Linked DNA regions of Cricetulus griseus. The protein of the gene in region 2 purifies or fractionates together with the protein of the main gene of each other region. This does not show direct contact. Links are inferred from orthologs where the notes say so. Each region holds a gene or a part of one and is shown on either strand. Other genes may lie near its edges.

The links. The genes of interacting proteins can lie anywhere in the genome.
Region 1: the proteins of Cav1 (region 2) and Trpc1 purify together in Homo sapiens (affinity purification with western blotting; 3 studies listed by BioGRID and IntAct, with this or other methods). This does not show direct contact. The link is inferred for Cricetulus griseus from reciprocal best matches to the Homo sapiens genes CAV1 and TRPC1.

Annotation. Positions count from the first base shown.
Region 1 is NC_048597.1:204,330,395-204,336,619, forward strand, and holds the end of Trpc1 (short transient receptor potential channel 1), read right to left. Parts: intron 5,659-6,225; coding exon 5,457-5,658; intron 5,183-5,456; coding exon 4,988-5,182; intron 3,419-4,987; coding exon 3,191-3,418; 3' UTR 1,510-3,190; downstream 1-1,509. UniProt on the Homo sapiens protein: Forms a receptor-activated non-selective calcium permeant cation channel. Forms a heteromeric ion channel with TRPC4 or TRPC5 that has reduced calcium permeability compared to the homomeric TRPC4 or TRPC5 channel.
Region 2 is NW_023276806.1:209,232,955-209,238,992, forward strand, and holds the start of Cav1 (caveolin-1), read right to left. Parts: upstream 3,622-6,038; 5' UTR 3,513-3,621; coding exon 3,483-3,512; intron 2,967-3,482; exon of another isoform or gene 2,836-2,966; intron 2,091-2,835; coding exon 1,926-2,090; intron 1-1,925. UniProt on the Homo sapiens protein: May act as a scaffolding protein within caveolar membranes. Forms a stable heterooligomeric complex with CAV2 that targets to lipid rafts and drives caveolae formation. Mediates the recruitment of CAVIN proteins (CAVIN1/2/3/4) to the caveolae.

The DNA.
Region 1 (6,225 bases), on a different chromosome or scaffold from region 2:
AGAGATTATCAAAGATTTCTTCCAGTTCAACATGAAGAATAGGATTAGAGCACATACAGTTTTGTGTCTAATTATATTCGATCCCTGGAATCTTTACCCACATAAATCATGGAAAAGTTTCCTCTCGAGGAATCTGTGCCATTCATCACTAACTCCATACTAAAGTTGTAGCATGCAGGGTCCAGCACTGGATAGAAACATTGATGAAGCAGGGTCTCTCTTCCCTGTCACTGCAGCTATCTAGCCTGAACGAGCTTCCAGGGGAAGTCTCCTGTCTCCCACCTCTCCCATTTTACCATAAAAATGCTGGAATTACAGACACAGACCACTGAGGCTGGAGCCAGTTTTGATGTGATTCTGGGGGTCTGATTCTGGGGGCCTGCTGAGCCATTTCATGGGCCCCTTAAACAACCTTCTTGGTGGAGAAAAGCAGAGAATGAATTGATTGCTAATTCCAGGATGAAGAGAATGGAGCTTGTCTGTAATTTTGATTGCCTAGGACACTTTAAAAAATAAGCCTGCTGTTTTACTTGTTGTGTTCCTATAGTTTAATATGCATCAGAAACCATCTGTCTTGCAAATGGCTACATTAAAGCATACAAAGAGAACATAAAATATTTCCCAATTTTTGTGTGGTGTAGCTGGTGTTCATCTTCAAATGCAGATAAAAAACAGAATAAAGGAAATAATGTGAAATTATCAAATGAAAGTCTTCTAAGAATGTCCTCTAGAAACAGTATGTTGACACATTGTGGGAGGGTGTGATGCCACAAAGGGGACATTGACTTACCAGTGAGAAATTCAGAGCAGCTATTATCCCCAGTATTTTCTTAGTGTAATTTTTCTCTTTGTGTATGTGTTCATGGTTGCATATGCATATGGAGGCCAGAGGTGTTCAACTGGAGGGGTGTGTGTGTGTGTGTGTGTGTGTGTGTGTGTGTGTGTGTGTATGTATGTATATATATATATATATATGTATATATATATATATATATATATATTGTGTGTGTTGTTTCATTTTCTTGACTATGCATATGTGGAGGTCAGACAGAAGTCAATGCACAGTAACTTCCTCTATCACTCTCTACCTTATTTTCTGAGATGGGCTCTCTTACTGAGCCTGGATCACTACTTTAGCCAGACTGGCTGTCCAGTGAACCCTGGGGTCCACATTCTTCAATTCCCAAAGTGCTGGGGTCACATGTTTACACTATCATGTCTGGCTTTTATGTGGGTGCTGGGGATCTGAAGTCATGTCCTCTTGCTTGCAGAGCAAGCACTGTACGCCCTGAGCCATCTTCCAAGACTTCCAAGTCCCCAGCAGTCACATGGTAACTCGCAACTGTCTGTTACTCCAGTTCCAGGGGATCCAACACCTTCTTCTGGCTTCTGTGAGTACCAAGCACATGCATGGTAAACAGATATACACAGGCAAAATACTCACAGGCATAAAATAAAGTAATTAAAAAATAAAAAGCAAATAATAGTAAGCAAAATACTAAAGCTCTATCATTTTATAATCTAATGTCAAATTTTATTCACTTTTTTCTTACAGTATGCTGTCATTCAAAATATACTTCATCAGTAATTCATGCACACAATAGGCACTCTATAAATTTTTTTAATAATTAGGTTTTTTTAGAATGACTAAAAATCCTGATGTAAAATCCCAATTGGGAAGTGCATAATTCCATTGTAGACAAAATATATAGCTTTACAATAAACATTTTTGTAAGAATTTACCCAAAAGAGGGAACACTTAAACTTGAACATTAAAAACAAATGCAAAAAACAAGATGAAACCTAACACTAGATTACCCAGATGCCACCTGGGTAGGTGAAAAATCACAGACCAAGGGCTGCCTGCACCCTCACACCCTCAAGGCCAGCTGACATTGGGCTAAGAAAGTAACCATGTGCATTGCTCACTGAATGCCGCAAGAATGTCTACACAATAGCTGGGGAAGCCTTCAGCTGCCCTTATATGAACACTGAAAAGAGGTCAAATACACTTTATATTTTCAAATTGAAAGAACAAAGCTTTACATCTCAAGCAGGAGGCACAAAGTCACTTTTCTAGAAGCTATGTTGAACTCTATGGCTAATACTTCAGAAGAGAGCTCAAGAACCTGCATGAACTTAAAGGAGCTTTTTTCAAGGCCCCTGATGCTCTCCAGCCAAGCCCACTGTGACCACACATGAAGACAAGTAGTTTATACTTTGTAACTTATTCAAACTTGAAAAATTAGAAGGAAAAGTTAAAACTAACCAAATGCCTAGAGAAGTAACTTTGCAAATGCATAAATATGAACAAATATTCTATGGCTAAAAGATGTCTACTATTTTTCAAAAATCACAGAATTCTATAAATATTTAAATACATGAATTACCTCAATATAGAGAACTATATATAAAATATTAAGTAAAAAATTAAAAATATAAAATCATTATAACCATGTAAAAGTAAATATATTACACAACAAAATCAAGGTGAATTTAGATTAACAGAACTAAATATTAATTTTTTGTTGTTTTTGAGACAGGGTTTTCTGTGTAGCCCTGGCTGGAACTCACTCTGTACACAAGACTGGCCTTGAACTCAGAGATCTACCTGCCTCTGCCTCCCGAGTGCTGGGGCTAAAGACTTGTACCATCATGTCTGGCTTGAATTCAAATATTTATTAGAGACTTTTCTTTGTTGCTTAAGATTATAACAAAAGAAAAATAGGGTATTTTAGATAAAACTATACTCTTAAACAATAAATACTGAACTCTGTGTGAACTCCTAAAACAAGAGATTTTAAACACCATGAACTTGACATTTCAAGTGTCTCTTAAGGTAGCTGCATTTGGTGATCTTCATTTTATAAAAGGGAGTGGGCAATGTGTACACTGGTAGCTGCCCCTCCTAAACATTACAAATCTTAAGCACTGACAAGCTACGAAAATCAAATAGCATGCTAACAAAACTGTTTACTTACTCTGTTTTGCTTCTACAAAAAGCCACAGACAGGTTTTTAAAAAACTAACTCTATATACATATTTTACATTACATATATTTATACTATAAATATTTATAGAATGGCTTTTGTGTAATTGCTTATGTCCATATATATTTTATTAGTTTAACTATAAATACAATCTTTCAGATTTGTTATGGAAAATTATTTCTACAAGATTTAGAAAATGATTAATTTCTTGGATAAAACATAGCATATTTAGAAGTCCGAAAGCCAAGCAAATCCCTTATTTCATTTCGAAATTTTGACAGATCTTGGCGCAGTTCATTGAGATTCTCCACGGTTGCCTGGTCTGTACTCTGCATCTTCTGTCTCATAGATGTCAAGTAACGATGCACTAGGCAGCACATCACTTTCTGGTAGTTCTCGTCTCTCTTCTGTTTCAAGTTTCTCCACTCCTTTGAAACAAGCAATCACATGGTAATAATGACAGCAATGTATGTGTAAGTACATGCATACATATGTAAGGAAACATGTATATACACTCATATATAGATATATATTTGCAGTACTAAGGAATGAGCTCAGAGCCACATGCATGCTAGGCAAATGTCTGCAATCAAACTATCCTCCAGCCTCAGAGACAATATTTAAATGAGATAAATTTTAAATACATTAATGGGTACACATTTTCAATGCATTTAGAGGACAGTTTACTTTGGTAAAAATCATATTCAGTACATGTTTAAAAATATAGCCTGTGTATCTGTTTCATTCACTCTACTTTAGGCAATTACATTGAAAAAATGTAGTCTTTGTAATGCTCAGTCTACAACAGAGATTCACAAACTACCACTCCAAATCAATAGCCAACTTCCTGTCTTTCTGACATTGTGAGCTAAGAATGGCTTTACAAATGAATATCTGTAATCAAATTTATATGGGCATCTTAATTTAACTCTAATTAAGCAAAATTTTCACTCTCCCACAGGGAATTGCTTTTCCTAGTAATTTATTACCACGACTGCTACTTACATTTTTAATTTCATCTACAAGGTTTTTGGAAAAATTTTCTCTTATATAACTTCCTAGATGGTGTTTTTTGTTTTATTTGGCTTGCAAAGTATAAAATATTACCCTTTGGTGTTTTAGGAAACATACCAATCCCCAGTTTACAAGCAGCACTGAGTAATTTTCAAGACCCCAAAACACTATGAACTAATAGTCGTTCTTTAAATCTATAGTGAAAGACTATGGGATAAGAGTTCATGTGTTAGGGAAATTTAAAAACTAAGAAAAGAACCAAAACCAACCTCCAAATCCTTAGTTTTCTTTCTTATTCTCAATTATTTGTTGAATCTTTATATTAGATACTTCCGCATTCATTAGGGATATAGTGGAAAACATGTCAGCATAGCCCTTATCAATGCAGCATATTTGTGCTTTAAGAAACATCTGTAGGTCTTTAACAAAACCTCAATTGTTTGATTTTGCCAAAAAGATTTGGGGTCCAGATGCTGGGGTGAAAACCTGAAAGCACCCAGATGACCTTTTTTTCTCAGGTAACATCCCAGAAGCCTTCCCACTTTCTCCTACAGGGTCACAAACAAGACTTCCTGTCAACTGGTTGCTTGCTCTGCCTTTTGACCTATGGATGGCTTTATTTAATCCTGTTTAAAATATTCAAGCAGAAAGCTCTTGTGTTAAAGGTGTGTGCCAGGGCTAAGCCATACCACAACTAGAAACATGTTTTTCCAGTAAATAATGAAATCTAGGGGTGTGATCAATCACAGTGTGATCAAGTATTCTGCAACAAACATCTGTATTGGTTATGGTAGCATACACCCATCATCCCAGCCCATGGTAGCCAGACAGGAGGATTGCTGCAAACTGATGCCAGCCTGGTCTACATAGAAAATTCCATGCCAGCCACAGCTATATAGTCAGTAAGACTCCATCTCAGAAAAATAAAAGTGAAATTAGCAACTGTAAAACTGTGGTGCAATTCAAACCATTTAATTTCTCACCTTCAAACTGTTTTGCCGTTTGACCTTGCCTTTTGATGTATGAGAGCAAACCCACTTACTGAGACTACTGATCATATAGCAGATAGTCTTTGGTGAAGGAATAATGTTGAAAGGCGGGGGCAGTGTACATTTGTCATCAAAGTAGCTAAGCCACAGCTTTGCTCGAGCAAACTTCCATTCTTTATCCTCATGATTCTATAGGTAAGGAAAAAGCAGCATAGAATAAGAACACAAACACAAAGGTAGATGATATGGGCAGGTTGGGGAGATACTGATTAAAACTGCCTAAATGTCACCACACCTTATAGATTAAAAAATTGGTCCAAGATGTGCAAATTATTAGACATTACATTTTAAAATCTATATTTAATTTAAAAATACTATTCCTTAATTCTGCAATCTTCAGTTATTTGATTTCATACATTTTATGTGATTTGGCGAGAATATAAAGCTTTGAAAGACCACTTACTGCTATCAACTGAAAGCTTTTGTGAAGCATGGCTACCAGCAGCTTTGTAAGCACAATCACAACCACGACGTTGTACGTCCCAACAATCACAGCTCCAACGAAGGACTGCAGTTCTTCTCCATAGCTAAACCTTGTGACAAAGATGGCCACATGTGCTAAGGAGAAGATGTACCAGAACAAAGCAAAGCAGGTGCCAATGAACCTGTAAGGGCAAGTAGATTCTGTTTAAAAAAGAAATTAATTATCAAGAACAGATAATGCATTTATATCAAAATTATACATATGAACCATTAGTAATTCTTGCATAATACATTATAAAAATAATTTTATTGCTTTATTTTATTTTCATAGTACATATAGTCATATTTTCAATGTTTTTACGTGTGTGTATCTGAGTGTATATATGTGCATCACATGCATGCGGGATGCCACAGAAGTCAAAAGAAGGCACCAGATTGCCTGAAATTGGAGTTAGAGTTGTGAGCCACCAGGTGGGTGATGGAAATCAAACCTAGGTCCTCTGTAAGAACAGTAAATGCTGTTAACCACTAAGACAACTTTCCACCCCCTAAAGTCTTATTTTAGGAGGCCAATGTCTTATCCATTAGGCTACCAGGCCTACTAAAATCTTACTTTAAATGAGGAAACACACTCAAAAATATTATTACTATTTAACTTTTTGCTATCTTTCTAGTCTCAACACAGCAGTCCATAGGGTATCTAGTTAGATTCTACCAGTTCTTCACCTCAACCTTCAGATAATTCCCAA
Region 2 (6,038 bases):
CTACATAGAGGGTTTGTTTAGTTGTGTTTTTCATCTTGATATGAAGGTATTTGTGAAGAGCCGGGGACTCTCTTGCCAGACACTGTCCAGCAGAGAGTTCTAGGATGGTGGAAATTTTCTAGGTACTAGTGCAGGAGAGGGGAGGAGCAGACTGTGCAGGGGCAGCCTGGGTCTCTCTTCGCAGAGGGAGTGTTTTCTGAAGACATCCTCCTAGGCGGGGCTTCTGCCTAAATCCTGTCACATTCTTTTCTCAAGGTGGGTTTTTCTTGTCTGCTGGATTTGCTCCTGGTTCTGTGAGCAAGTAGGTAGGCACTAATGTAACTCCTCTAATTTCTCTAGTTTGAGGTTTCCCCACACTTGCCCTTGAAATGGTATTTTGTAAACTGCTATTTCCTCCGAGCCTGCCATGCCTTTTTTTCCATCTGTGTTGAAGTCTTTTTCCCAGTGGGGCCTGCTTTCTCCACTTAGTCATGCTGTGTGGAGGCCCACATCCACACTGCTGGCCTCTCTGACTCATCCCAGGAGGCCGGTCTGCTCCAGGGAATCCTGCTCCGAGAACAGGGCAACAAACAGGGAGCTGATCTGAGATCCTGGAATCTGCTTTTATCCTTTGAGTCCCCCTCCTTGACCAAAGCAGGCAGCACAAGAAGGTTGAGAAGCAAAATGTCTTTTCCCCTTTAGGGAAGTGTGGCTAACAAACAGATTTTAGCAAGCTTAACTTCCAGTTTATGGGATGCCTTCATCTCTAGTTTTAAGTATTCCACAATCTGGCCAGGAGAAAGCAGTCAATTTTCCTTTTCTCTCTACCAGCAAAACAAGAGAGTGAATTTTCACAGGTACACTTTCCCTCCAGTTGTAGATTAAACCATTTCCCTTTCTAAAATATATTATTCATAAAGGTGAAACTGCACTGGAGCTCCTCCCATCCATAGATAGGAGTCTGTGGGTGGAAACTCCATGAGCTCCTCAGTGGTGCCTGCATTAGCGGCTGGGCAGGACAGGGGCTTCCTTCCCACTGGAACCCCGAGGCCAGGATTTTCCTTGGCCCTCCAGGCCACTCAGAGGAAATCCTCTGCCAAGGACAGCTCAAGTCCAGTATTTCTCAACCCACACGGACTCAGACAATAAATTCCTTGAGCTAGAATTGCTAAAAGGGTCAAAGTTGAATAACAAAATGATAATGAAAATCAGACCACTGTGTCAAGTCTACATTCGGCCAACAACCCAGGAAAGTAATGTATTTTAAACCCCAGCAAGTATATCCTCAAAGTGTAAAATGGAACGCCAACCTGAATGTTCTGCTAGCCCAGGGCAGGCTGACCTTGGCTGTCACCACAGATGCATCTTTCCACATCTAACTAGAGGGATCCAGAAGTTAAGAGGTGGAAATTATTTTCAGTTTGGTAAATTGGCTTAGCCTTGTACATGTGCTGTGTTTTTATAGTTAAAACCCTATTCATATATATGTATATTATATATATGCAATTGCATACAAAATATATACATATAAGATAGTTTTAAGCATTTCCACTCATTTATTATTTTTAATCTAATCACTTTAGATTGCTTTAGCTGAAGGAATATGCTTATACTGTATTCTGACCTTCACCGTGGTGCACACTATTATTTACCTGTCACTGGACTATTAACCTGGCAATGGACCACAGTCATCTTCTTTTCCCAAGTAATGTGGGGGCCCACCTGTGGCTGAGGTTCTGTGAACTCCCACAAGGCTCACTTTAGCTAAATTTCTGTTCAACTAGCTAGTAGGAGGAGGCAAGGCAGATGAGACCTTTCTGACAAGGGACCAGGGGTTCACATACAGCCAAGCCTAGGAAACAGTGCCAGTGTGACAAAGCTATGAAAGGACGCCCAATTACTTGAGAGAGAAGGGTTGTGGGACCCAGACAGCCACCATGGCTTACCTTGACCACGTCATCGTTGAGATGCTTGGGGTCCCGGTTGACCAGGTCAATCTCCTTGGTGTGCGCGTCGTACACTTGCTTCTCATTCACCTCGTCTGCCATGGCCTTGTTGTTGGGCTTGTAGATGTTGCCCTGTTCCCGGATGGGAACGGTGTAGAGATGTCCCTGTGAAGGCAGCCGGCCAAGCCAGGGGAGGATGGCAAAGGCAGTGGGAAAAAAGTTCAGAAAGAAAAACAAGCGTCAGAAGTCAGCCTGTTGTCGGGGGAGCCTGGAGCTCCAAGTCTCGGCTAACTTCAACCCTGAAGGCTTTGCGCACAGAAAACTCCAGTGCCGCAAGCTTTTTAAGAGGACGGAGGGAAGGACACCACACCCCTCGGTACCAGGCAGGGAGCGCCTGCCTCCCTCGCCGGCCGCCAGGGGTCAGGGCGAAGCCCCATGCTCGCCCTCCTGCTCCCTGCAGCTCCTGGCAGCGACTCCCCAGCCCAGGGGGTTCGCGTTCCTCCTGCTCTGTACCCCTTCTCTCCTCCAGGCCACCCGCGTCCCCAGAGCCTCACCTGCTCCACTGACCCGTCCTGACCCTGTTAATCCTGTTCCCGATCCCTTCCACCGTTATCTTTAAGATCCCACTGGACCATACAGACAGGGGCTGGTCCCATCTTCTCTGTCTCTCCCTGCGTCTTCCTCCGCACCTGCCGCGTCCCCTACCCTTTAGCTCCTTTTGCTTCACGGCTTTCCCTAGGCCGTGGGGGTGGATGAGGTGCGTGGATAGCTATCATACTTTCATCTCTGAGCCGAGGCATATGCCCGACCCCTCAAAATGTTCTGGAAGACATCTCACCTGAAGGACTCCCTGACCCACCCTTACTTAGATCACCCCCAGGCTGTCTGCCCGAGGCTGAACGGTAGTCACCTTTGGGAACCGAGGTCTCCACCTTTATGCTATCTGAGTGCCAAGAAGTAGTTGCCAATGGTGGTGGTACTTGTTGAGGAAGGAGGGTCCCCCACCTCGGAACCCCCCATCCCGGCCGCCGCCCAGGGGCAGAAATTATAGAAGTGCTCTAGAACTTTGCTCAAAGTGCAACACGCGCGCGCCACCGCCCAGGCCAGCCACTTTAGGCTCCTGATGGGGACTGTCCTTAGAACTGTGGCCAAATGACGCCACCCCAACACACACACACACACACACACACACACACACACACACACACACACTGCACCAGCTCTCAGCCTCCCAGTAAGTAGGGGCTTGTCCGGGGTGGGGGGGGTCTTAACGGTGCCATCTGAAAAACTTTTCTAAGTCCGGCCGACTACCAACGCGGCACCCCGACCCTCCTTTGCCCGGTGGGCTCCATTGGTCGCCTCTCCAAAAGGAAGCCTTAAAACACCCCTGGCTTTTCTTCAGCTCCCCACCCAGGTCCATTCCTCAGCGGTGCCAGCACGAGGGGAGTGCTGTGAAGGTGGAGAGAGGGCTGGGGCCAGGAAAGCAGCCCGAGCATTTGGAGTGGGAGATAGCAAAAGCAGGCACTTTAGAGCCGGCGCGCCCTCACCCAAGCCTACCTCGGAGTCTACGTATTTGCCCCCAGACATGCTGGCGCGTGGCTGGCTGCAGGCTCTGAGGAGGTTTCCCTGGGCTGTGATTTAAGAGAACTGAGGAAGGAAGATCTTGTATTGTATAGGGGGGAAAAGGCGCTGGCGCGGGGGCGGGGGGGCGGTGGCTGGGAGGGAGCCTCTTGGCTGTCCGCCAGTGGTTTGTTCTTCTCTCAGTTGGCTGGGACGTGCTCTGCGCCGGGTCTAGGCACATCCCCAAGGTTCTGGCAACAGAGGGCGGGGAGCGCCCGCGGGGAGCTGAGAGCCTGTGAGAAAGCCTTCATCAGCGCTAGGCTGTTTGGGCAGATATTTTAGACCCGGGGCAACGTTTTCCCAGCTATAAACCAACAGAGAGGCATCCCTGGGAGAGCGAATGTTTTCCCAGTGCATCATCTCAGCAGGGGTGGAGGGAGCATAAGAGTCTGCAAAGATGCCCAGTATGGGCATCCGGCGCGGCAGGAGGAATTCTGCCCTGTCCTAAGCTGCTTCCCAACTTCGCCCACATTCCATTATCTCCCAGGACTGGGCTGTCTCTGACTGGGAACCCGAAGGAGCACTTTACATATAAACACAAGGAAGGAATCTGTGTGGGTGCCGGTAAAGTCATTATCAATCTCTACAAAAAAGAAAATGAAATTTCTATCAACAGGTTGTGCCGTAATCATAAGTACTTTGAACATTTTCAACTGTAGAAAATTTTAGTTAGAGGTTCAGGTTCGTTACCAGAGTGGGTTTTTCTTGCTGGCTTGAGATCAAATCCGGGCATTGGGCATTCTGCCTGGAGGTAAACACTCTACTACTAAACTACATCCTCAGTTCTAAAGGACGCCTGCCCAGAAAGATATGCTTAACTGTGAGAGGAGATGGGTTTTGACAAAATGACTAGACTTTTTTTTAAGTTAACAACTAATAGATCAGTTTCAAAATCTGCCAACCTCCTGTATTTTATTGTAAAGAAAAATCAAACAGACGATAGTTGCTTCTTGCTAAAGAATTGAGTAACTAACACAAGGCAGCAGGTATGAAATTCACACGCCATAAACTGAGAAGGATGTTTTTTACCTAAGCATCCATACACAAACCCTTGCATAGCACACTGGAAAGGGCAGAAGATAAATTTAAAAAATGGCTACCAGGAGGCAGGAACATGGGATCGGGGGAAGATGAAGAGGAAACACGTGTCTGAGGATAGAGAATGACACCCCAAAACACCTGATCATCTGGCTGGAAAGAAGACATGGAAAGAGCAATGACATCAGCAGATTGGGCCCTTGCTGATGGGGACAAAAGGCAATCCAGTTTTTGAATTAACTATTTTGACTAGCATGTGATGACCATATGCTAATGATGTGATATTTCAATGCTTGCATGTATTATACTGATCAAATAAGGGTGATTAGTCATACGTTGTAAAAATAAAAGGATCAATTTTAACTAGGGACAGCAAGTGTGATAAACATCACTTATGCTAGCTATTATTCACCATGAGATTAAAGATCTTCCAAAAGGCAAATTTCCTTGGTTTTATGTCTGCTAAATTACCTTTTCTAAAGTCTTTCATCAACCTGTGTGCCAACGCGCATGATAGACCACCAGAAAAAGGATGCTCTTTGATTCCAAGTATCCTGCATTGGCCACTTGAGATGATCTCTTGGAGTGCGCTTTCTCTACTAACTACATTTCCTTTCATCGATCGATATCTGCTGCAAGGCAATTCTGGGTCTGTTCTAGGGGAAATGTGGTAACTGGTTCCCACCTAGTATTACTCAGTTTTCAATTGCTGATGAGTAATTCTGACTGTGAAGAAGTCAACAGGAATGGGGAGAGCTTGTCTTGCATTCCAGGCAGGAAGGGAAACCTCAGGAGAGGTCCTCCAGTGAATGCCTAAGTCATCCTCAGCAGAGGGAAAGAGGGAAAGCCACCTCACGGGCAAACCCGTAAGCAACAACGATGCTTGGCATCATAACGACCAGTGAAGCGTTGTCAATGCCAAGATGAATTCCTAATGAATGGAAAAACCACAAACTGTTTAAGTAACCTGCCTCAACAAGAAGCAGGCACCAAAGACAAGCAGCTGTTATGCTGGTTGTTATAGCTGGCTGGGAGCAGCAACTCCCAATCCCATGAGAAGTCAAGGTGCAGGACTCACCGATTTAGGTACAAGATTTTGGTGAGTAGGCAACGTAAACAATTCTTTCCTTTGATAGCCACACAGATAACTTTAGGCTTGAAGGCAAGTTAATAACTTTCTCTAAATCATTTACTGGAAATGAACGGCAAGTGCAGTTTATTTGCCTTATTGTCGTGTTAGAAACAACACTGAAGGTCAGCTTGCAGGTTATGTGTTATCAACTAAATAAGACGTCCATCGATAATCTAATTCCCACTACTTTAGAGATGAAGGAACTGAAGTTTCCACACACTAAAAGTCCTTCTGAGGGAATTTTGTTGGGTAATAAATCATCTCTAAGTTGATGAATAACTGTGCCTGGTATGCTCTGGGACACTAAAAGTGAATTGTCTGCT